Linked DNA regions of Neurospora crassa OR74A. The protein of the gene in region 3 interacts with the protein of the main gene of each other region in a pairwise test. Links are inferred from orthologs where the notes say so. Each region holds a gene or a part of one and is shown on either strand. Other genes may lie near its edges.

Region 1 (7,916 bases), on a different chromosome or scaffold from region 3:
TCTCAAGGTTCATTAGGTTGTCGATTGATTCGTCGATGCTCGCTAACTGCGCATTGGACAGGTTGAGGATCTTGAGGGTAGGAACAGGTGCTTTGACTTCAAACTTGACAATCGGATTCGAGTTGAGTTTCAAGCTTCGAAGTCTTTCAAAGGACCCACTGAATTTGGATATCTGGTTGTGATCGGCGGATAAGATCTCCAACCGAGGTAGGTCAGAAAGGACGTCGATGGTACTGATCTGGTTGTATCTGATGTCCAACTCCCGAAGGCTGACTAGGTCCCTCACGCTCTCGGATATAGGCCCAGACAGTCGGTTGTTAGTGATCACGAACTTCTCAAGGTTTCTCAACTTCATCAAGTTATCGGGAAGGTTGTTGATTGAATTGAAGCTGAGGTCGAGGTCGACGATGGTTTCCAGCTCGCAGATGAAGGACGGGAAGACGTCGAGGAAGTTGGAAGATATATTAAGTGTTCGCAGCGACTTGTAGGCTCCAAGCGTAGGGGGTAGACTGCGCAAACAGTTGTTGGCGAGGTTCAGCTTGAGCAGGCCTGTTAGCTTGCTCAGTTCGCTATGATCCAGATCCTGGAGGCGATTGTTTGACACATCTAGATAGGTAAGCTTGCTGGCCGTGGCGAAGCTCTTGGGCAAGGCCTGCGCCTCGTTGTTGTTGTACTTGATGTCCCGAAGAGCAGTGCAAGCTTGTATAAAGTCTCTGGGGACATCTAAGGACAGATTTCTGGACAGATTAAGGGATACAATCTCTGCTGCCTTGCGATATAATGGTACCGGTATGGTTATTAGGTTGCGCCCAGACAGGTCAACATGATTGAGCTTCTGGTTCCTGAAGTTGATGTCAGGTGAGAGCAAATGCATGTCGGCTTCCTTCTCCTTGAGGAAGACCCATCGACAAATGTAACTGTTATCTTCGCGACCGATTTCGTCAATGCCATCCTTTTCTTGATAACCTATCTGCTGAAAGAGTCGTTTTTGGATTCTCAAGGGTTGTTCGGCGCTATTCAAGACCCTGAACAAATCGTGCTTCTTGATAAGGAGAGAGTAGCTGTCCTGAGCACCCGGAGGGAGATAAGTCTTTTTCGCCACACCCATGATAACATCCTCAGCTGTCGCAGTCAAGGGCAGGGTGAGCGTAGTCCAGGTGCTATCTGACCTAAAGACACGAATGTAATAATTGCTTTTCTTCTCCTTTTCCTCGCTAGGTTGACGTGAGCACAAGTCTTCATTTACCTGAGGGGCGAGAGACTTTTTGTTGTCGCGCACTGCCCAACTGTCCGGGGCAGCCCATGCGCCCTCCGGATCTGTCGTGATCGGGACAATCATCTTTTCTGATTCGCGTCGCATTGATATGCTGTTGTCCAAGGGGGTCATGGGTTGAGGCTTGGTCAAAATTCCCTCCATATCATTAAGGTTCGTATCGAGATGATAGACGGTTCCACCTCCCATGTGCATGTCAGTGGGCCCAATGTCCTCGTCCATGTCATCTTGGGGCTGTTTGGCCGAGCTCGATTTCTTAGAGGTAAAGAGTTTCGTGGTGAACCCCGGCGCCGTCGTCTGGCGCACATAGCCAGGGCGGACAGGGACCTCTCGCTGCTCGCTAGGGTCCGAAACGTAGACGGATGCTGGGTAGGTGGATTCGGCGGCGCGGGTAAGGTCTTGTCTCGACGGGCGGTGTACAAGAGTGTGGTTTGAGCCACTCCGAAGGCTGGAGCCATCTTCCTTGTCTTTGTTGTGCCGGCGGAAGCGACCCAATATGCCCTTTTTGTGCGATGGAGCTGGAGATGATGTTCCGTCGGAAATACTGTTGGCTTTGAGTCCCCGCGACGTCCCTGTCCAACTGGGCGCTGGACTCTGTGCGCGAGATCGGGTGCCCATCATAGAGCTGGAACCGTTGCGAAAATCCCTAGCGAAACTGGCTGCCGAATCCTCCCTGCTAAGCGATGGCTTCAAAGCCCTTGGATCCTCGTTACTCTTGTTGTGTTTATGATGTCCCGGTAGGTGCACGATGGAGTGACCTGACCGGGCGGAAGACGAGGTCTTTGGTGGGTTCTGGGAGCTGTCGATGTAACGATCGCGATCGGGGCCAGTGAGACTTGTTCGAACGGGTGCTTCGCCATAGCGAGCGATGTCCTGTGTTTCATGCAATGGTCAGTTACGGCGACAGAGATCACTCGTGCAATTTGTATAATACGGATTGGTAGGCACGGCAGGCAGGAGGAGTCCAGACTGGAGGATAGCAGCAAAGAGCGGGTTTCTCGGGATTGGAGCAGGGCAACAACGACACCTCACTGGCAGGCTGTCGTTGTCATTGTTGTGTAAAAGATTCCGCAGCCATTGCCTTGGGCTCCTTGTTAATGTGGTTGTTGTGAACTTGAAGACGGAAGATGGCAGGAGGGATCATCTCACCGCCGACATGTTGCAGGAAGCGTCAAACGAGGGTTGCGTTTGGAGCAAAGAATGAGACGGCCGGCGGCCATTGCCAATGTTGATCCCACTGCTACTCATCCAATTCGCGATTCCCAAAAGGGATAGCTCGGGGTGGAGATAGGAAAGAGAAGGCCAGAGATAAGATTTGGCGAGGTGTGGAAATGGGGTCGAAGCGAGGGTAGTAGCTAGTAGGTATAAGTAGCGTAGGGTACCTTTAGTGATACTACTGCTCCTGTATCTCTTACCAAGCTACCACCACAACACTTTACGAGAGAGGGGAGGGAAGAGGGGGGGAGGGGGAGAGCGAAGAGGGGGAAGGGAAGATCGAAAACAGTAAATTACAAAAGAAAACAAAAATAGAGAAAGAGAGAAAGAGAGAGCGAGGCTATACGTACGTCGGCTTCTTGGTACAGAAACGGCACAACTTCGGGCGCAGGCACTGGGGTTCGCGGCCTCGAGGGCACGGGCGAGGCATCCCTATCTCGCCCGCCGACAGTCGAGACGGAGCCAAAGGTGGAGGGATGGTGATCGGTGGCATTGGAGTAGTTGCGGTCCCGGTGCGAGCGACCGCTGCCTGGTAGGCTGTAAGAGTGTGATCGGTGTTCCTTCCCTGTGGACATGGGGCCCGAGTGACTCGGCTGGGGCAGGCTAATTTCCGACGAATCTCGGCCAGGCCAATCGTCCCGATCGCCAAAAAACTGCTGGAGCTTCTGTAGCCCGCCCCGGGTCTTGGAAGTCCGCGACCCTTGGCTGCTCGCCGTCGTCGTGATTGAAGCAATCGACGGCCGCCGCTCATCGTCGTAGTACGCCGAATCCGGAAACTCCATGCTGCCTGCCGACGCCTGCGAAGGCCGTGCCGTCATCGGCCGGATGCCCGGCGATAGCTGCGATATTACCGACAGATTATCCGTAGAGTCATTGAGGAAGCTGCCCATGGACATCCCGCCGCCGTTGTTTCCCCCCAGATACGGTGCGTACTGGCTGAGGTTGCTGAAGGTACCCGAAACTGATCCTGCAGCGTGACCCTGCTGCTGCTGCTGCTGTTGTTGTTGTTGCTGCGGCTGCTGCGGCTGCTGCTGACTGTGCGATGACGTTCGGCTCAATGCGCCGCCTGTGGTGTCCAACATGGCCGCCATTTCACGACGATATCCCCCCAGCTCGCTCATTCTGTGTTCGCGGATAGACGCATTGGATGGTGTAGTGGGCGACTGGGTCAGGCGCGAGCCCCCCGTGGGCGATACTTGTTGCTGTGGTTGTTGCTGTGTCGGCGTCTGCTGCGAGTGGTACTGAGAAGGGGATTGAGACTGCTGGGAATTCAATGACAACTGCGGCTGCGAACATGATTGAAGCGTGGCCTGTGACAGTGAGTGCGACCGCGTCTGCGTATGCGACGGCTGCGACTGGGACTGCGACGACTCGAAATCTCTCGATGACCTGCTGTAGATGGGCGGCCGACGCATGCACCCGTTAGTTTGAACTGCAGGAAAATAGGGCAAGAACAGGCTTGACTTGTAAGAGAAGGGACGGCAAAGAAGAACGGGGTTTCCGGATAGTTGCGGTGACAGGACAGGACTGTGCAAGCAAGACTGGGTAGGTATCCGTATCACAGAACCGCTCGAGAACCACGAAGCCCCCAGGAAACAACAGACTGCGTCGCTCGCTTCAACTCACCTCGCAAATTGGGTGCCGTCATCCGTCTTCAAACGCGTCGGCGCAGGCCTGCGCGCACCCTGTGAGGCGGACCGAGATACATTGTGGCCGCCATTGCTGCTACTGCTGCCCGCTTGCAGCGACGGGGACAGCGGCCGTGTCATCGAGCTGCCCAGGCTGCTGGTCGGCGTCAAGGGAAATGGCTTCGCCGTGATGCTGGATTGTGCGCTGTCGATGGAGCTGTAGCGGGAGCCGCCGTCATTTCTCGTCATTGTCACCGGCGGGAGGCGAGCGGAACAAAGATGCCAACTACCAGGAGACCACAGCCATTCCACGTGAGGATGGGGATGGCCAGTGTTTTCAGGTCATGGCCTTGTCCGATGCTAAGATGGCGGGCGTGTCTTGTGGTGACGAAGAATGCGGACGTTGAATCCCGACAACCCAAGACGTTGCTGGCGTTATGCTGGTGTGTTGTTGAGGTGTTCAGCTGCTATCTCGTGGGTGGCTAGTCCAGGTCCGCGTTTGCCCTCTTTGCTGGGCCGGCAAAGTGGTTCTAATCGTCTCTTGTTAGGTATTTGCAGCGAATGGGAAATGGATCAGATGTCGATGTTCACCAGCAGGTGAGTGGGCGTGGAGGTAGGGCGGTAGGTCACTGGCGTCCGGGTACCAACATGGGTGGGCGGACGGCGGACCAGGGTGGTGGGTGAGATGTGCGCCAAAGATGGCCCACCATCAGAAACTCGACAATTATGTGTCCAGTCCTCATCACTACCTCTAGGTACCCTAGTGGTCGGCATTTGGGGCTCCGACAATAGTGTACTGTGGCAGCGATTGGCCCCATAGCTAAATCTGTACAGGGCCTCAAAAAGAGCAGAGCACTCGGATTTCTTGACCGAGCGGGAGTCGCTACAGCCGTGTGACAGTCTGAGCCCGTGTGTAAGCCGCCCAAGATAAACAAGCCGGGCTGAGTCCGAAAGGTCCCCGGGCGGTGATATTGCCCATTGCAGACATGAGAAGGAAACGGGGGCTGACGAGCAAGTGTGAACATCAGGATAGTTTACACTGTCCCTCTGGTTGTCGGCCACTGCAACTTCTTCAAGTTGGGTTCCAGGACCCCAAGCCTTTCAGGACTGCGAGTTGGTGCTCGGCTGGAGTCCATGCAACCTGACTGCCAGGGCCTCTTCAAAGAAGCGTCCAATCGTTTTTCCAACATGTATTTTATGATGAGTTATCACCTGAAGCCGACGTATTTACATACTTCAGCGACCGAAGCAGACATATGAGGCACGGCATAACCTGCTGCCGGTTCGGGCCTGTATTACCTACAGTCCCATCTGCCATCTCAGTGCACTAGCGGGACCGCCCGAGTTATCTCGGTGACAAAACATAGAAGCTTTTTAGGCTTCCCATCCGTGGCCACAGTGTTTGCATCAGAGAGGTTCCTGTGCGCCAAAGCACCCCGAAATTATAGGTAGGTATCCATGTCAAGTCGGTGTCTGGTGTCAATGTCAGGGCACCCGAACGGATGGTGCGCATATCGGTGAGCCGTACGTAGAGGTAGGGGTACATCGATTCGGAACGGCAAACTTCAGTTGCAGGGGTGGCCAGCCAGCATCAATTCGCTCCGCGTGGGGGTATGCCCGCTCCCTCAGGCTCCGCAACCCTGTCGGTACCTCTAGGTATTTTGTGAACTTGAAGCTCACGATGTTCCTGTTTTGAGATGTCTTACTTGGCGCCCAGAACCCCCCAAGTAGTCTACTATGTAAAATCTGTGAATGTCGCAGTATGAACGACTGAAAGCGCCTGTTTTCTGAACTGCATCTGTAAACACAACCTAACATCTCAACAGCTGCAAGGAACCATGCAATGTGTCGAGGGCCTGAATATGAGAATTGGTCGCCAGGCACGGTACGTACCTTGTGTAGACGGGAGGTACCTTCATGGTCGGGTCGGTCCCCGGACCCCATTAACGTGGGAGGTGCGAGCGTCCGCCGTCGCTCGGTGTCTCTACCCCGTAAAATAAGGGACCTTGCCTTAACATTAGCCCGCGGTTCAAGATACGGGGCTACTAGCTACCCGAACACGTGTAGTGACGGGGTGTCGTTAACCTCTACACTATTTTCCACTCACCTAACCTACACCTGTAACCAACAGAGCGTGCCCCGGCGAGGGATAAAGCACGCTAAAGTTCCAATATCATACCTAGGTAGCTAGGGTATGTAGGCTTTTCGTCGTTAGATAGGTAGATACCTAGCGGGACTGCATCTCCAATTCCACAATCTGCCCCCATCCCATTTTTCGTCGAGTTTCCATGTTATTCATCTCATCAACGAACTGGAAGGTTGCTTACATGAAGCCAAGAAATAGAGCCGATCTGGAGCTTTACGCCTAGTTCATGGACAACTTGATTTTCCCTCCACAAAGAGAGGGGGAGCTTTTCGATTGAGCTGGCATGCCGTGATTCGATCTGAGGATAAAACCCGATGAATGGGTTCCCTCCCTGGGTCTCGCCACAGAGAGCGCGTCGTTCGTCGGAATGGGTCTACTTGAGCACAGGGTAGGCCGCTAGTCCCTCGCTTTTTTTGTTCCTTCTAGAGGAAGACAGCTGTGAGGGGTAGGGGTAAGTATGAAGCTGTGAGAGATTACATGGATGTCAAGTTAGGTGCCGTTTGGATAAAGAGCAGCTCAAATGTATGCCCTCAAATACAACTCGGCGTAAAACGAGTTGGCAATGACTCGGAACAGCTACCGAGTTTGGAAGAAACAAAGTCGGACCGCCTGAAGTTTGCATGGGGCTGATAGTTCGCGACAGCTAACGTTCGCAGGGCATGGTTTGAAGAGTTGTAGCTCCGTCTAGTTTCATAATTGGTAGTGCCGCAATCGCGGAACAGTGAATCTGATTTGTGACTTCGCACGTTTCTATCCTGAAACAAATGGAAACCTCTACAAACAGACGTGGTTTCCTTCTAAATCCCTTCCAACCAGCAACTTACATGGCAACCCGGAACAAACCAACAATGTTTGGTGAAGGAAAAGGGGGCTTTGTGAGAAGAACATTGATGTGTGCCCAAGACGAGGAGAAACGCCCAAGGTGTTGCACGATCAAGGATATAAGAAACGAGAGAAGCTTGCCCAGCTCACAGGTTGTTTTATTTGCTCCTCCCAGCACATGCTATGTGAACATCAGCATGCTTGAGCCCCATCAACAGTGCTCCCGACGACAAACTAAATCCTTCAGGTTGGCCACCTTGTGAACTCTTCAAGATATAGTTCTTACGCGTGCTCTCGGAGAAATGGGCGTGTAAAATGATTAAAGATCGCCGAGTTCCGATAGACTGGATATTGAAGATATTATTGAATGACTGTCGTCATCCTTCTCAACCTCCATGTGATTGATATCGTTGCCGTTGGACTTGATACCTTCGCTCTCCTGCTTTGTGCCTTTTCGATCCCCGGATTTGATTCTATCATCATCTCTGATGTGAATGATATCATTGCCATTGGACCTGATCTTTTCGTCCTGTCCTTCTTCACCATCTGTATCCTCGCTCTTGGGCTCCTCCTCGTCCTCGTCTTTCAACCTGCTTTCATACTCGTATCTGAGATGAGCCTCGTCCTCGTCTCTGAGGCCCATCTCATCATTTTGGCTTTCCTCGTCTTCTTCGTCCTCATACAAGACGTGGTCTGCATCTTCTTCGTTCAAAAGCTCTCCTACCCATGTGCTGTCTTTCATGATAGTCCTTGCCTGTTCCTCTGTCACTTTGTCTGTCCCTTCCTGAGACATATCCTCCATAATCAGCCGCACAGCCAACTCTGGGACCAA
Region 2 (7,857 bases), on a different chromosome or scaffold from region 3:
ACGAGCTCTATAACCCTCGCGAACTTGCTCCATTTTGGGTCACTTTTGTTTATAGAGCCCTACCCAAGTGGTCTTCTTCTCTTTAGGTTAATGAAGAGAGAAGCAGTGAAATTTGTCAACACAGGACCTCATATCAACTTCATGTCCGTCTGCTGCATTTCTAATGAGTTCATAGGTTTTCTTGAAACACTCAACAGTGCGTACTTCACTAACTAGCATGTCGATTTGGCTTCCATCTAGATGTTGGGTTCTGGATCCATTTGGTAGTCTCTTAGTGAAATAAGAGTCATTACCTTTAGCCTTGTCTCAAACCCGTGCCGGACAAGAAGAAAAACAACCACCTAGAGAAACAATGCTTTCAAAGCGGAATACTATCTACATGTGGTTACTTTTACTCCTGAGCACAACTTCTTTGCCAACTCCCATTTTTCTTGGCCATGTGAAGGACTGAGTGAGGTACCTTTAAAGTTACACACGATTGCTTTACCGCTATCCCTCTTTGTCGTGAGCTCCTTCCTTCCTTTCTTCCCACTAATGCCCTCCTTCCTTCCTTCCAATCTCCCTTCACCGGCAACCCACATCCGACACCGGACAGCAAACAACTCAACACTCCCACTTTCCCTCGCCGTACCTTCTTCCCCTTATCTAACTGCCGTCACTTGCCCCTTATACTCCAATTTTCCTAGCCACACATTCAACAACTGAAGCAACGTCACAAAACAAGCGCAGTTAGTGTAGTGGTTTAGCACTCTCGTTTCCCAGTATCACAGGCGACTGGAAGCTAAGTAACGAGCGACCCGGGTTCGAACCCCGGACTGCGCACAATTGTTTTCTTTAATTTGTATCTTTTTGATCATCTACCGTTGGATATGCATATATCTAATTTTTTTTTCCCCCTTTACATTCAATGGGTGACAGACAGACAGACAGACACATCGATGCGTATGATAAGCTACAGTCGAGTGAGTATGTGTTAGTTGTTCAGGATTTGGAACAGAAACGAGGTCCCGTTTTGAGATGAGCCAATCCACCCATCGTGTTATTGTATCGACTTTGTCACGTAACTGGAGTAAGTAACATGAGGCCGGAGAGTCGAATATGACTAGAGCAGACTGTAATGGTTAGCTTCCCGAGATGAGCATAGCCTTGGAAATTGGCGGATCATGGAAACATGAACCATGAACTTGTCAACGAGAACGTGACAGGGCACTAAGCTTCCAATACATACTGCCAGTCTTTTACCATGCAGATCTTAGATAGGAGAAAATGAAGAGAAAGGATCAGTGAGGTACAAAGACTGGCTGAGGGATCGCACGCTGATGAACAAGTAATAGGACAAGAGTTACTACAACGAGTGAACGATATGGGAACAGAGATACTATGTATCCTTGAGAGCTTGTCTAGAGGTTTCATGTGGCTGAAGGTAGGACACGGTTTAAGGCTCAATAACAGGCAGCTTCGGTCCTTGAAATAACATCCAGAGCGGACGACATAGACGAGAGGGAAATTAAAGAAATAAAAACTGGTTCATTCAGCCGTGGTATCGTGATAATAACATCCCATCCAGATTCTTAATCCGAGCCACCTTCATCTGTTGTCCTCTCATCCCCTTTCTCTGGAATCCGTCTAACTCTCAACAGCCAAAGCCCTAACACCAACCAGCAACTTCCCATCAACACTCACACTCACAACCCAATACTCCACCCGCACGCTGTCCTTCGCAACCCTGTACACCTTCACATCACGCCCTTCGCTCGCCTCCGTCACCGCATCAATCAAATCAAGGTACTGCCCGTTGCGATCCCAGTCAACAGGGTCCAAGATCTCGATATCGGCGTCGGCGGGGCTGGGGTGGTTGATTAAAGAGGCGAATTTTTCTGTTTTCATTAAATGTCAGCATCTTTCTTGTCTTTCGACTCATCCTTTTCTGCTCCTGTTCCTGTTGCTGCCCTCCCTTCTCTTCCATCTTCCCCCCGCCGCCCCAAAAAAAAGAAAAAGGAACGAAATCTTTCCCCCTCCGTCCCACCCACCATCAAACTCACGACAGAAAAAAAAAGAGAGAAACTTACCCTCATCCGGAAGCATCTCCTCCCCAAACTTCAACGCGACCCCCTCAAACGGCTCATCCGCATCGCTCACATAGAACTTATCCCCCTTTTCCAACAACTTGGCAATCGGAGACGGGAGGGGAACCCCCTCGTCGCGCGTCTTGAATGTATTGCTGCCGACTTTTTGCGTTGCCGGGTCGGGGCGGTCGCGCGGGTACCCGAGCGAAGGGTCCTCGTTGGCCTTGTTGAGGAAGGCCATGTAGGAATCGTCCGAGGCCATTTTCGATGTGGTGGTGGTGGTAGACGACAGCTTCGCGGTCGAGGTGATGATGTGCGGTGTACGAGGCGTATGAAGCGTAGTACCTGCGGAAAGGGACGTAGTGATGCGCAAGAGCGGGAGAGTGAGAAATCGTTGCGCTGCTGGTCGTTGCAAATGGAGAAGCGTAGAAGTTGTTCGAGAGAGAGGCAATCCAGCGGGTGTCTGGTGTTCGAGAAAGAGCCGGGTAATTAGCTTTGCGGATTGTCGACAAAGAGTTTGTGTTGAGGATGGAAGAAGCAACTAGAACAGATCTGGGTCAGGGTTAGGGAAGTTCAAACCATTATGTTGTTGTGTTTAGGTTGAGAACGTTTCGTTGGGCGGGACGACGATGACAATGATCAGTCAGGTGGGTGGGCTGCGTGGTGGGATGCGAACGAACGTCCGATGATGTAACCTGCAGTAGCTGAAACCAATTAGGAATGGCGGATCTCACGTTGGCCTAAGAGTGGAAGCGTCAACCAATCAGGAGATGGGCTGCTTGCAAGGTCGATCGGGGTTTGATATGCCCTCAACAAGTAACAACAGCCATGTACGCCGTGAGGACTCCCAAAAGCACGACTAGGAATATGAGAAGATGGTCGAAAAGTGATATCATTATCAGTCGTGGTATCGCAGATGAACAATATCAGGAAGAGAAAGCATAGAGACGGGTAGTGAATGACAGGTGGAAGCTCATGAACAGTTGATAAATCGAACACGTCCAGCGCAGCAGAACAGGCAACGAGAATCACACGACATGCTACATTCAAGACTATCAAATTGGGTATATCTATATGCCACTGGTCCCTTCAAGTCATTACCCTACACTAGTGGGGGCATAGCAGCCCAAGACAAAAGTCCTGGAATAAAACATACGAAGTTATAAACAACAGTGTCCATCGAATCTGTGCCAACCACCAGATTCTTCACGTGTTCACATCACATAAAACACATTTTGCTGAAGGACACTCTCTTTGGCAGTACACTGGATCAACGTTTCATTGTTCTTCAACAGCTTTTTATTAAGCCGTAAATGCTAGGTATAGTCCCATTTCCCGACCGACCCGAAAGAGCAACGAAAAAACCGTGACACCAATGCAACCCGACTAACAAGGAGATCAACTGCAGCAGCCAATTTACGAGCTGGCAGCGAGGTCCTTCTTGAGGGTACCCTGGAACTGCTTCTTCTCGGCAGGGGTCTGGAAAGCACCATGACCGAACTCCGAGGAGGTGTCGATCCACTTGAGCTCGACCTTCTCGAGGGCCTTGCGGGAGGTGTGGACGAACATGGACTTGCGGAGAGTCATGACTCTCTTCTTGACACCGGGAACGGAGCCCTTGACCATGACGAAGTCGTTGTTGATCTCGCCATAGCGGACGAAGCCACCCATGCTGGAACAGGGTTAGTTTTGCGCTCTTCAACTTCTTCAAGACAGACGGGGATACATACGGGGTGATCTTCTTCTTGGTGACATCGACCTCGGTGGCAGCAGAGTCCTCAGCATCGCCCTTGCCAATGCGGTAGATCTTGTGGTTGACCGAGGTACGGTGGTGGTAACCGGCCTGACCAGCGCGAGCAACAGTCCACTGGACGTGGGAAGGATGCCAGGCACCGATACAGGCGACCTTGCGGAGACCCTTGTGGGTCTTGCGAGGAAGCTTCTTGGTGCCCCAACGAGCGGTGACACCGGTGAAACCGTGACCCTTGGTAACGGCAATGACGTCGATAACCTCGTCCTTCTCGAAGATGGAGTCGATCGAGACGGGCTTCTCGAAGAGGCCGTGGCCGAACTCGACCTTGTCGGCGACGGAGCCACCGTTGATCTGGATCTCCATAAGGTGGGCCTTCTTCTGCTTGAGGGGAGTCTTGCGGATCTGGGTGTGGGCAAGAACACGGACGACAGTGCAGTACTTCTTGATGCGCTCGAGCTCGCGGGTGATGGCGGCACCGTTGTTGTCGGAGTGCTTCTTGACGTACTTGGTGAAGGCCTTCTTCTTGGACTTGTACCAGTTCTTGTAGAAGCGGCGCTTGACCTCGTCGGACAAGTGCTCAGCCCAGACGGTGGTGAGGGAGCGGAGACCGCGGGGAGTCTCGATGTACTAATATCGGGGTTAGATCACACGGTCGCGGTAGGCCATATACGGCAGCTGGACAGGATCAAAGACTTACGCCGACCAGACCCACAACGATCATCTGCGAGAGATGTTAGCCATTGACACAAAAAGAGCCAAGCGGGCTGCGTTGTACGTACAGGAGGGGTATCAATGATGGTCACAGCCTCAACGACCTCCTTCTTGTGAGCCTTGGCGCCGGGGCGGTCGAGGTCGCGGACGATGGTGGTCATGCCGGCCTTGTAGCCCATGGCGGCGGTAAGGTGGACGGGCTTCTTGGCATCATCCTTAGGGAACCTGTCATGAACGCGCAACTGGTCAGCCTCTCTGTTCGCATGCCCTATTGCCCAAGTTCCGATCGCGAAAGATCCAAACTACTAGCGATAGTGTTGTCGATGGTACCAGAAGATAAGCTTGACTTACGACTTGACCTTTCCCCTGTGGCGGGCCGCGCGCTTGCGGGGAAGGTAGGCCAGCGAACCGTGGCGGGGAGCCTCGTACTCTGAAGCATCGAGTCAGCATGAAGGACGTTCAGGTTGCCATGAGGTCCAAGTCGTGATCACGCATGCTCCCCAAAATCCAGTCGCCAAAAAGTCGAAAATTTCGATATCGCGACGACCGTCTCTCGGGAAAGCTGCTCCATCGATTCTCTCGAAGTCGGGATTGCGTGTAGAAATCGACAAAGACCGTATGTCTGGCGGCGACAGCGACGGCGATGAGGCGTTACTTACTACGGTGAGACATGACTGCTGATGATCCCAAGTACCCGGGTTGTTGATGGTCGAGTGGGAAAAAGTTCACTACCGCGAAAACAAAATCAAGAAGTATCGCCAGAGAAATTGGACCAGCCAAATTTTTGTGTGAGTGGTGTGGATTGGACCGTGCACGGGCCTCAAGTGCAGCGGAGCCCTAACTTTTGCGCGAGCCCTTTCCGGCGGGCATGTCCGCCTTCCTGTTCCTCGAGCCCGCCCAGCCAACCAGCGATGACCAGCCAAGCCCAGAACAATCCACCCCACAAGAGCGACCCCGTACACTTAGTCAGCTTGGCGGGCCATTCACTAATGGCACATTGATGACAAGGTAAAGTCCTGTTGAGGTGGCAGAAAACGTGACTTTGATTGCTCTGCGTATAAGTCCGTCATCGTCGCCGCTGCCGCCGTAGGTACGTTCGCAGATGGAATACGAGATATGGGATTTTTTCGGCGCCTGCGCGTGGCAACGGCTCTGTTTGGTCTGGTCGGTTACAATATGTTGAGCTCCAATCTTCGTTGTTCCCCCCCTTGACTCCATCTTGATCACACGGCTGATTCTCCGAATTCGATGTCCGCGCCCACGGTGTCAAAGAGAGCAAGCTGTTGTGGCTTTCAATAGCCTAGGTTGGGCTGTTTGGATCAAAGCGAGATCTCCATCTATTGGGGTTGTCAGCTGCCTGTCAGAAGCATGACGACATTGTCAAATGCCCCATCTGCTTCTTGACTCAATACCTCTAGCTTGTCGAGCTCGTGGACAAGGGCATTATAACAGTCGTAGATGTAAAACAAGTGGGTTGGCTTAACATGATTACATGATTAGGCGGACATGCATGGTCAAAGGCGTACTGGTTACAAGGGATAACCACGAAAGCACTACACTTAGCTGTCATCTCCTTGACTTTTCGGGCTGAGGCGCCGTTCAGCCATTTCAATAACACCGTATCCCGTGCGGGAATGATCACGACGTTGCAATTACGATCCCAAGAGTGTAACGACAATCGTAATCATGTTCTCTAACTGGCCTCTATGGCAAAGCAGCGAGTTCATTTCCGCCTCTTGAGGATATTCCCATTCCCTTCTCGCTGTCGACTTTCCAACAGATGACATGCACACGCTTCTATTCCAAACACAAGTCATAATAATGTATGTACATCGGAATCCGCTCCTTCCTCTCCCTCCTCATCTCCTACCGGTCAGTCAAAACGTGGTAAAATAGTGCATTTCGCACCCATGAGATCTTGAGCTTCACAGGTCCTTCTGTCTCCATCATCCATGTGTGTGAAATGATGACCACTCTTTCAAACCACATAAAACGAACAAGTCGACGTACATTCCCATCCATAAGCAAAACCATTATGACATCGACAGGATCTTGGGTTCTCCTACCTCTGCCGTATTATAAGCAGATACACTGGGTCTTGTCTCTCGCGCAGAAGCTCGAGGTACACGGCAGATGATGTAATCAGTTGCTTTCTGACTTTTGTCCCATGATGCCGTTGAAGCTACCGCTCGTTGAGGCTCCGTTCTTGGACTCGTTTGCTGCAGGGCCGGATCCGGAGGAAGGACCGGGAATAATTCCGCCCTTCTTGTCCTCCTCTCCGCTATCGTCATAGTCCTCGTCAACGTCCATTTTACGGGCCGCACGCTCAGGCTCATTGACGATGGGGGGGTGCTGGGCTGGAGGATGGTCCATCCGTCGGTCTTCGGGGGCGGGCTGATGTGCTGGGCCTGGGCCTTGCTGCTGAGGTCCGGGGACTGGCTGCTGGGGTCCGTGGCCTTGCTCGTGGATGAGGTTCTGCATCGGAGCCGAACCTTGCTGCATCGGCGGCAAATGGGCAGGGGCGGAATGAGACTGGGGATGATGAGCGGCCTCCGAAGGATGGTATCCCTCGTTCTGGTGCCGCTGCTCCTCAGCCCGGCGCATGTCCTCCATGCGACGTTGTTCCTCAGCCCGGCGCTGCTCCTCAACCCTACGGGAATCTTCCATACGACGCTCGTCGAAGCGACGAGCCTCCGACGAGTTGCGACGAGCATAGGGCGGCTCCATTCGGGGCGGGGTCATCGAGGGGCGGCGGTGCCTATGGTCATCCATACGGACGCGAGTCTCCTCCGTCGCAGGCTTCTTCACCTCCCGGTCGTCTTCCCACTCACGCATTCTCTTGGGGCCAACCGAAGGAGGGCGGGGATCATGCTCCCTCTGATGAGGAGGTTCACCAGCCATACCTGACTGAGGGGGGTGAGGAGGGCCTGGCTCAGGGCCACCAGGACCGCCCTGCTCACCATGCGGAGGGTACGGCGGCTGATGCTGAGGATAGGCGGACTTGGGAGACGGCATGCGGTTCTCGTGCATGTGGGGTGGTCTTCCATCAGTCCTCGGACTGTTGTTAAAATGCATCATTGCGTTTGGAGGAGGAGGGCCGTTTGGGCCAGGACCAGAATTGGAAGGGACCACGTTCTGGGGATTAGCGTAGTTCGGGTTCCTCACTCTAGTACCACTACCCCCTTCCCGAGTAGGTTGAGGTCCTTGCTGAAGCTGTTGCTGCGGGTGCGGCTGGTGCGGTTGTTGCGGAGGTGGAGGGGGTGGAGGGGCGTAATGAGCCTGGGGAGGGGTAGGTCCTCTTCTGAGCGGCTCGGGCGCCCTGGCCTC
Region 3 (8,102 bases):
CAGACCTGCACCCCAACCCCTTGCGCTCCAACCCTTCTTCGCCGACTCTGCTTATCGACTCGGAGCTGGGGCCAGAAAGGTCTATCACCCCCTTCAGCCGCTTGCGCGAGTCGATTCTTCGTCCGTTGAATTTGAACCCGTTGAACATCAAGAAAGTCCGCCAACCTCCGAAAACCCAACATCTTCAACCAGACAGCCAGGAACCAATGAGGAACCGAGATTCCTCCATTCAACCCGAGGCTTTGTTTTCTTCTGCTGCCATTTCCGGCGGCGGAGGAGGAGGAGGAGGAGGAGAAGGAGGAGGAGCAAAGCCCTACGATCCTAGTACCTCTGACATACCTTCAACTTTGCTTGCAGGCCACCCTGCTAATTACCGGGTGGTTTCGTCTGGCCATGACTACGATTTCAGTTATAGCGGAGCAGGAGCAGGTAGGCAAAGACATGTCAGTGGGAAGGTGGCTGAGGAGGGCATGGCTGGTGGGTTTGGCTTTTCGGAGGATATAACAGAGGGAGGGAGGCAGGATAAGAAGAGGCTGACAGTTACCAATGCTTAGTGGGCATGATAGCAAGTTTGGATGCCTACTTGGATCCAAGAAGGATGATTTCTGTGGGTGATGAACGAATGATTACGTTGTTGGAATAATGTCATGATGAAGATGGATTATTCAAGCGGTTTTTCTGCGTCTAGCTAGCAGGTTCTGGAGTTAAACGGATGGGTTTTCGATGTTCAAAGGCATGATATCACTGTTACGAAAAGCTGAGCGTGGCGCATTGTATGTCTTGGTAGTTAGGTCTATAAGGTTGCGAAAGTTTCAACCCAGATAGTCGTTCTATGTCTATACGTTTCCTAAAGGTCATAACAATCAACTCTTTCTCTCATCCCTGTTATCTTTGTGACCATCTCTCTAGCCGTTAGGTATGATCAAGTCAACCCGCCGTCACGTCTCTAACTCAATCATCAACATCACAAAAAGCTCTCACAACAATCCGACCCTCTCCAGATACCCACTCAACCTCTCCTCCACCCTCTCCCCATTCCACGTCTCTCTCCCCTCCACATCCATCCCCAGCTCCGGTACTCCCACCTGCTCAATGGCAAAACTTGCTGCCACGCTGCCCCACGCACACGCCTCCTCGATGCTCTTTCCCCTCGCCAACGCCACCGCCAACCCACCCAGGAACGTGTTCCCACCTCCCGTGGGATCGACGACCTTTGTGGCGTCCGTGTGGTAAGCGGGCAGCCACCTCTCGATCCCCGAATCGACCTCGATCCCCTCCTCGACATCGAAACGACCGAACGGGTCATCCTCGTTGTTCCGGTCTTCCATATCTTGCAAAAGTCCGGCAAAGAGAGACATCATGTCTGTGTCGTGCTGTAGACCGCCGTGGAAGTTTCGGGCGTCCAGCCCTACCTTCATCTTCTTCTTCTTTCCCCTTTTCATAGGTGGCTGTTTCCTCCTTCGCCCCCCATTCTTGGCAACATAGCAGCCCTTCTCCCCGGCCCTGACCACCAGCGTGTACGTCGTCAGCGGCATGCTGGCCAGCAGCTGTTCGCAGTTGCGCTCTACTTGCTCGACGCTGATCTCGCCCGTTTCCGGGTCGAGGCCGTCGGTGCCCATGAACCCGGCTAGCTCGGCGTGGTTGGGGCTGCAGATGTCGACCAGTGGGAGGGCGTTGGTGCAGTTTAGTAACTCGAAGGGGGTGCAGAGATCGGGGACTGGTTCCCAGATGATTAAGGGGCGGGTGTAGGCGTTGGGGTCGTTGGTGTCGTCATCAACATCGTCGCAATCGTCGTCGTTGTCGTTATTGTTGTTGTTCTTGTTGGAGGCGGCAGCAGCAGCAAGTCGGGCTTCGCGCTTGCGAAGGGTGATGATCTCCTCCACCAACTCTTTGCAGCGGTTGGGACTGCAGACCATGTGCACGGCTTTAGCCTTCAACAAGGGGGTTCCGACCAGGTCGGCGGCCGTCAGTCGTTTCTTGGGAGTGGTGTACTTGAATTCGCGGCGCTCCGAGGAGCCGACGTAGCCGTTCCAGCCGCGGGTGGTGAGCCGGGTGGGGTCATGGCGGAAGACGGCCGAGGTGGACCAGCCGGTGATGAGATCGGTGATGGCCTGGGGGAAGTCGGAGCCCTGATCGACGATCCAGCCCACGGTGCGGGAGAGGTCCGGAGCTGGAGAGAAGAGGCGGGCGCCGAGGGCGGAGTAGGAGCCGGCGCCTCCTAAGACGTTGGTTGATGGAGGACGGGGCGGAGGGTATTCGATTTCATCTGATGGGGTGCTTAGTTGGTGCCTGATTGTGGTTCCTGGGCACTTACCGATGATGAACATGCCGAGGGTGACAAAGTCTATTATTGAGGGAGTGTCGTTGATATCTTGCCATTCTGAGCTCTCATCCGAGGCTTTGTCAACATCGTCTGGACTTTGGCCGGGCACTTCCGGGTTGCCGTTATTGTCTGTCATATTGTTCTCTGTGGTGACTGTGTAGGATCAATCAATTGTAGTGGACGCTTGAAAGGAGTGTATGCGAGTACGACGCGGCAACGGCCAGGCGATGATAGACAACAGGTGGGTGTGGGCTATGTAAGTGAGTGACACTGAAAGGGGTTATGAGAGTGAGACACCGATGGAGGGATGAAGACCTATTTGGAAAGATGGACGCGTATGTAGATATTGATGTGGCTACTGGCTAGGCTACCTCTATTGCTAGTCTGCTATTTCTGCCTGACCATCAGGCGGCATAAAGCATAAAGAGCCTGATGTTTTGATAACTCAACGTCTTATTAGCTAGAATCAGCTATCTGGGGTAGGTTTTTTACTGCGAGGCGTAGGAATGGAGAAAGGGGACGGACCCGCGGGACGGGAGGTTATGGGATCGATCCTGTCATCTCGATCCTCGACACTTTAAATGACTGCTTGTGCAGACCTACTCATGTCAAGTCTTCAGCATCAGCATCAGCATTACCGTTCTCGTATATACACAGCTAAACAAGCAGCGAGCTTCTGAACGGGGAGAGTGCTTGTTGTTGATCCGGTTGCAGTAGCACGATGTGACTTGTTGTTTTTGTTTAGGTATGCTTGGTGAGGTGGTAACTCATATGTGGATATGAGGCGTGGATGGTGCCTGTACGCCCAGCGGGCTTTTGGTGGCCGTGCACTCTAGTCTACTGCAGAGTCGTGAGAGCGGCCAGCAAGGTGTTCGTTCTTTCTTGTTGGAGGATGTCCCGAAACGCGTAATTTTAAACGATGGATGAGACGACCCACCATGACCCCACTATGAAGCTATCGTGGGGAAGCAGCTCATCACCTAGCGTGCTGCGTCTACAGAAGGTGTGCCCCGTACACTGTGGCCGCCCGTAGGCAGTGTACAAGCATGGCAGGCGCCAGGGGCAGATGCCCGTGCTAGGTAGGGGTTGTGTGACGAGGGGTTCCAATCGACGAGTTGTCAGCCCGGACCGTCAACCTTCAGACATCCCATGTTCCAGCACAGCAGATCTTGGGGCACCTAACTACACCTTCCCAGACCTCCTCCTTGTGCAAGTTTCGGGACTCTTTTCTTCCTCTTTCTCCATCTAGCGATATCTTCTTATTCCTTGTAAATTATACGGTTCAGCGAAAAGGGTAAGTGCTTCTCATCAAGATATTCAGGACGATACCTTCCCTCTGTTTCAACGAGCTCTCTTCCACCGGAGGTATCCGGGTCTGCCCACGGCACTCTCTTCACATCATCATCAAGGCAGGATCGCTAATACCGCAAGCTGGCACCGACAGTTCTAATCACAGAGTACACCTTGCTCCTTCCAACTTCTATATTACTCGACCGCGAAGCCTACTACGTTTCCAAAGTCCCGCCTAAGGGACCATCATAATCACAATGGCGACCAACAATATGCACAACTTGGTCACCTTGATCAAGAGGTACGCTTCAGCTTTCTTTACCGCAACTTGATATCGCCACACCTACGAATAGTTGCTTTCTTCTACAACACCCGCATTGCCCATTATTTTACCTGGCGCATTCTTAGCCATGCCGATTCCATGGGAGCCGCTCTGAGGCTAGGACGACGAAGATCCAGTCCCCGAGCAAGGAATGCGCCAGAAAAATCGGCGCAAAGCGAGAAAGAAAAAAAAAAGACTACGAGTGAATAATGGTCAAGGCACGTTGCTAAGTACTTGCGCAGACTTGAGGCGGCCACCCTCCGTCTGGAGGATATGGCTTCGTCCACCATCCCCCCTATTGGCTCCCAGGCCGTCATTGAGCCGGCTTCCTCCGCCCCCTCCGCCCCCGCGTCCACTGCTGTGTCCACTCCTGCACCCGCTGCCGCAGTACCAATTCCCGAATCTGTCGAAAAGTTCGACGACTTCTTGAACCAAACTGTTCAGAAATATGTTAAGACCAGCAATCTTATCGGTGGCTTGGTTGCTGAGCAGGTACCTATCCTGCACAGTTCTGGATCTATTTTGTGGGCAGAGAGCGGGAAGCTGACCATTTTTATCAGGCTGCGAGTGTCCTCAAGGGATTTGCCGAGACGCGCAAGTTCCTACTCGCCGCCTCCCAGTCCAAGAAGCTCGACATGAACTCGGTCGATTTCCAGGAGGCTATCAAGCCTATCAGCGAGGCCATCCAGGCCACTCAGGAAATCAAGGACAAGAACCGCGGTTCTCCCTTCTTCAACCACCTCGGCATGGTGGCCGATGGAATCATGCTCCTCGCTTGGATCACTGTTCAGTCTAGGCCTGACAAGCTCATTGATGAAAGCCTGTCATCTGCCGAATACCTGGGCAACAGAGTCATGCAGGCAAACAAAAACACTGATCCCCAGCATACAGAATGGGTCAAGACCTTCTACCAGATCTTCAAAGACTTGTCGGAATATGCCAAGGATTACTACAACAACGGCATTGTGTGGAACCCTAACGGCAAGCCTTACAAGGAGGTCGTCCAGTGTCTTGAATCCGGCAGCGCTCCCTCGGCACCTGCCGCGTCTCCAGCCCCGTCCGGAGGAGCTCCTCCTCCGCCACCTCCTCCTCCTGGACCTCCTCCGGTACTCAAGATTAATGAGCAGAAGGCGGAACCGGCCCAACCGGGTGGTTTCAGTTCCGTCATGTCTGAGCTCAACAAGGGCGAAGCAGTTACAAAGGGTCTCAAGAAGGTCGACAAGTCGCAGATGACACACAAGAACCCTTCCCTCAGGGCAGGATCAACCGTTCCCGACGGACCAGCGGCACGGTCCAAGAGCCCTGCGCCGCCTGGAACCAAGCCGCCCAAGCCTGAGAGTATGCGTGCGAAGAAACCTGCAAAGAAGGCTCTCGAGGGCAACAAGTGGATTATTGTAAGTTCTCCAGCCGGACATTGTGGTGTAAATTCAAGGTTTTTGACAGTGCTTTAGGAAAACTACGATGCTGCCGCTGGCAACGTTGAGATCGAGGCCTCCATTTCCCAGTCCATCCTCATCAGCAGGTGTAATGAAGTCGTCATCGTCGTCAAGGGCAAGGCCAACGCTGTCAACATTGACAACTGCGACAAGGTGTCGCTTATTGTGGACACTCTTGTTTCTACTGTCGACGTTGTCAGGTCCAAGAACTTCCAGCTCCAAGTCAACGAGACGATCCCCACTGTGCTTTTGGATCAAGTCGAGCAAGCCACAATCTGGCTGAGCAAGGAGAGCATCTCGACAAGGGTGTTCCAGAGCAAGACGGACAACGTCAATATCATGGTTGTGGACGAGAACGACGACTCCAAGGAGCTTCCTCTTCCTTCCCAAATCTGCTCGTATTACGATCCCGAGAAGAAGGAGCTTATCAGCGAGATCGTTTCTCACTGTGGTTAATTCATATTTGGTCGCTGCTTCGTCGAGATTGTCGGAAAAAGTGAGTAGCTTGATGCGAGGTGGCGTTTGGTTCTGATCGTGAGCGTTGTTGTCACATATTCTCCAATTTACATAATAGCACGCCTTGATTTGAATATTCGTGGATGGCATGTTCTGAAGCGGGCGTGAAATCATCTTCAATCCCGCAGGTATGCCAACTCGACAGTACCCATCATCATTTTCAAGAACCATATCATCTCATGACGTTCCTATTTCAATTGAAAAAAACGCCGAACACCTTTGCCTATCAATGACAAAACTTGGCTGTTTATGGCATGTCTCTCTGTCTAGACCATTTCCGCCGTAGTACTTTTCTCATCCATATCTATGACCCACCTAAAATCATCTCTACCTGTTTCCTAGACACAGCATCAATTCGGTTTTTTAACCTTTCCAGTCCACCAGACTAGATTTTGTACACTAGCTGACCATCGGTATACCTATCATCAAACAGCGTTAGCATCATTCCTCGACATCATCACACCTCACAATATCAAGCGAAGGGTAACTCACATCAACTGATTCCGTTCCGTCATCTCCCTCAACGCCTGCAGCGCCTCCTCCTTCTCAAACTTTTGTTCACCGCCTCTCCTGCCTCCGGGAATCTTCTCATTAACAGCCTTGATCAGCTCATCCACATCCGCAGCGTCGTCCTCGAAAAGTCCCGAGTTCAACAACGGACCGAGCGCCCGACGGAAAACGTCAAGACGGTGCTCGCTTATTGGTGCTGGCTCCTCATCTTCTTCTTCCTCTTCTTCCTCCTCTTCCTCTTCTTGGTTTTCTGGGGCGGCTTCGCCGTCAACGTCCATTTCTTCGTCTTCGTCTTCGTCGACGTTGAGGTTGGCGGCTCCGGAGGCGAGTTCTTCTTCGTCGTCTTGGTTCTGAGCGGTGCGACGAGATGATCGTTGGGAGCGAGTGGAGCGAAGTTGCGAGGCGGGAAGGGAAGAGGCGAAGGATGGTTGTGAGTCGCCGGTTGTGCGAGCAGATCTTGTTGAGCGGCGCGGGGTGGCGTCGTAGATGTCTTCTTCCTCTTCTTCTGCTCCTTGGGTTTCTTCTTCCTCTCTGGGAGTGCCGTTGGCGTTTGCTGCGGAGGAGGAGGAAGCGCCATTGGCGGGAGTGCGTCGGCTGGCGCGTTGGGAAGCGCGGGAAGCGCGAGAAGCTCTGGCAGCGCTGGAGCGGGCTGTGGTGGTTTGAGTTGCCACGTCGTCGTCATCGTCATCAGAGTCGTCAGAGTCGGAGGACATGCCATCCTCGCCCTCGGCGGGTCGGGTCTTTCTGCGCTTCTTGCGCGACTCGTCCTGGACCACCTCCTTGAAAAGGGCAAAGCGGAGGATGGACTCGGCAGCGGCGGCGTCACGCTCCTCGACGCGGTTGGACAGGCGTGCCTTGGCGTGGGCGGTGGCCAGACGGATGAGCGTCTCGAGCGTACGGACCGTCATGGGCGACGTCTTGCGCTGGTTGCCCTCCATGTCGTCGTTGCGCAGGCCCACGTAGATGTCAGCAATGCGGTCGGAAGCCTCCTGCGTCAGTACCGGCTTGATGCGCGTTTTGGCGTATTGAATATACTTCTTCATGAAGGGGATACTGAGGATCTCGGGCTTCTTGTTGGCAGACCCGCGGCCGCTGGGCACCTTGATTCCGGCATGCAGCATGGCGTCGTACTTCTCCCACATCTCGGTGGGCTTTTGGGACTCGGATTGCCCGTTGAGGGCGACGTTGAGGGCCTGACCGGCGTTCTCGCGCACAGGAGCACCCTCCTCGGTGCCGGGTTGGCGGTAGCGGTGCATGCGAAGGACGTGCTCGGATACCTGTCGGTCACGGGTGTCCTCGATGTCGTCGGTGACTACGAAGAGAAGATCGAAACGCGACAGGAGGGAGTCGGGCAAGGCGATGTTCTTGTGAGGATCCTTGTGGGTGTCGTACTGTCCAAAGATAGGGTTGGCCGCGGCGATAACACTGCAACGGGCGTTAAGGGAGGTGTGAATACCGGCCTTGGCAATGGTAACAGTTTGCTGTTCCATGACTTCGTGGATGGCAACACGATCGATGTCTGACATCTTGTCGAACTCATCAATACAGACGACGCCACGGTCAGCCATAACCATGGCACCAGCCTCCAGACGACGCTCGCCAGTCTCCTTATCGGATGTGACAGCAGCAGTCAAACCAACACCGGAAGAACCACGACCAGTCGTGGCAATAGCCAATGGAGCAGTGTTGAGGACGAAACGAAGGA

The links.
Region 1: the proteins of NCU08008 (region 3) and cr-1 interact in binary tests that used the Saccharomyces cerevisiae proteins (3 or more experiments, as listed by UniProt). The link is inferred for Neurospora crassa OR74A from reciprocal best matches to the Saccharomyces cerevisiae genes SRV2 and CYR1.
Region 2: the proteins of NCU08008 (region 3) and NCU06843 interact in binary tests that used the Saccharomyces cerevisiae proteins (3 or more experiments, as listed by UniProt). The link is inferred for Neurospora crassa OR74A from reciprocal best matches to the Saccharomyces cerevisiae genes SRV2 and RPL3.

The regions. Positions count from the first base shown.
Region 1 is NC_026501.1:5,569,018-5,576,933, forward strand, and holds the start of cr-1 (adenylate cyclase), read right to left. Parts: upstream 4,841-7,916; 5' UTR 4,366-4,840; coding exon 4,115-4,365; intron 3,881-4,114; coding exon 2,839-3,880; intron 2,473-2,838; exon of another isoform or gene 2,432-2,472; coding exon of another isoform or gene 2,423-2,431; intron 2,147-2,422; coding exon 1-2,146. Other genes in the region: NCU08376 (hypothetical protein), read right to left, coding at 7,404-7,916.
Region 2 is NC_026502.1:1,781,235-1,789,091, forward strand, and holds NCU06843 (60S ribosomal protein L3), read right to left. Parts: upstream 5,332-7,857; 5' UTR 5,203-5,331; coding exon 5,190-5,202; intron 4,961-5,189; coding exon 4,882-4,960; intron 4,756-4,881; coding exon 4,599-4,755; intron 4,541-4,598; coding exon 4,517-4,540; intron 4,447-4,516; coding exon 3,797-4,446; intron 3,739-3,796; coding exon 3,483-3,738; 3' UTR 3,044-3,482; downstream 1-3,043. Other genes in the region: NCU06844 (hypothetical protein), read right to left, coding at 1,627-1,877, 2,070-2,529, 2,646-2,648; RCM-1, read right to left, coding at 6,673-7,857. UniProt on the Saccharomyces cerevisiae protein: Component of the ribosome, a large ribonucleoprotein complex responsible for the synthesis of proteins in the cell.
Region 3 is NC_026504.1:3,895,212-3,903,313, forward strand, and holds NCU08008 (adenylyl cyclase-associated protein), read left to right. Parts: upstream 1-3,347; 5' UTR 3,348-3,617; intron 3,618-3,767; 5' UTR 3,768-3,870; coding exon 3,871-3,914; intron 3,915-4,177; coding exon 4,178-4,427; intron 4,428-4,495; coding exon 4,496-5,329; intron 5,330-5,386; coding exon 5,387-5,827; 3' UTR 5,828-6,272; downstream 6,273-8,102. Other genes in the region: NCU08006 (hypothetical protein), read left to right, coding at 1-554; NCU08007 (PfkB family carbohydrate kinase), read right to left, coding at 978-2,459; NCU08009 (DNA replication licensing factor mcm3), read right to left, coding at 6,273-6,306, 6,380-8,102. UniProt on the Saccharomyces cerevisiae protein: The N-terminal domain binds to adenylyl cyclase, thereby enabling adenylyl cyclase to be activated by upstream regulatory signals, such as Ras. The C-terminal domain is required for normal cellular morphology and growth control.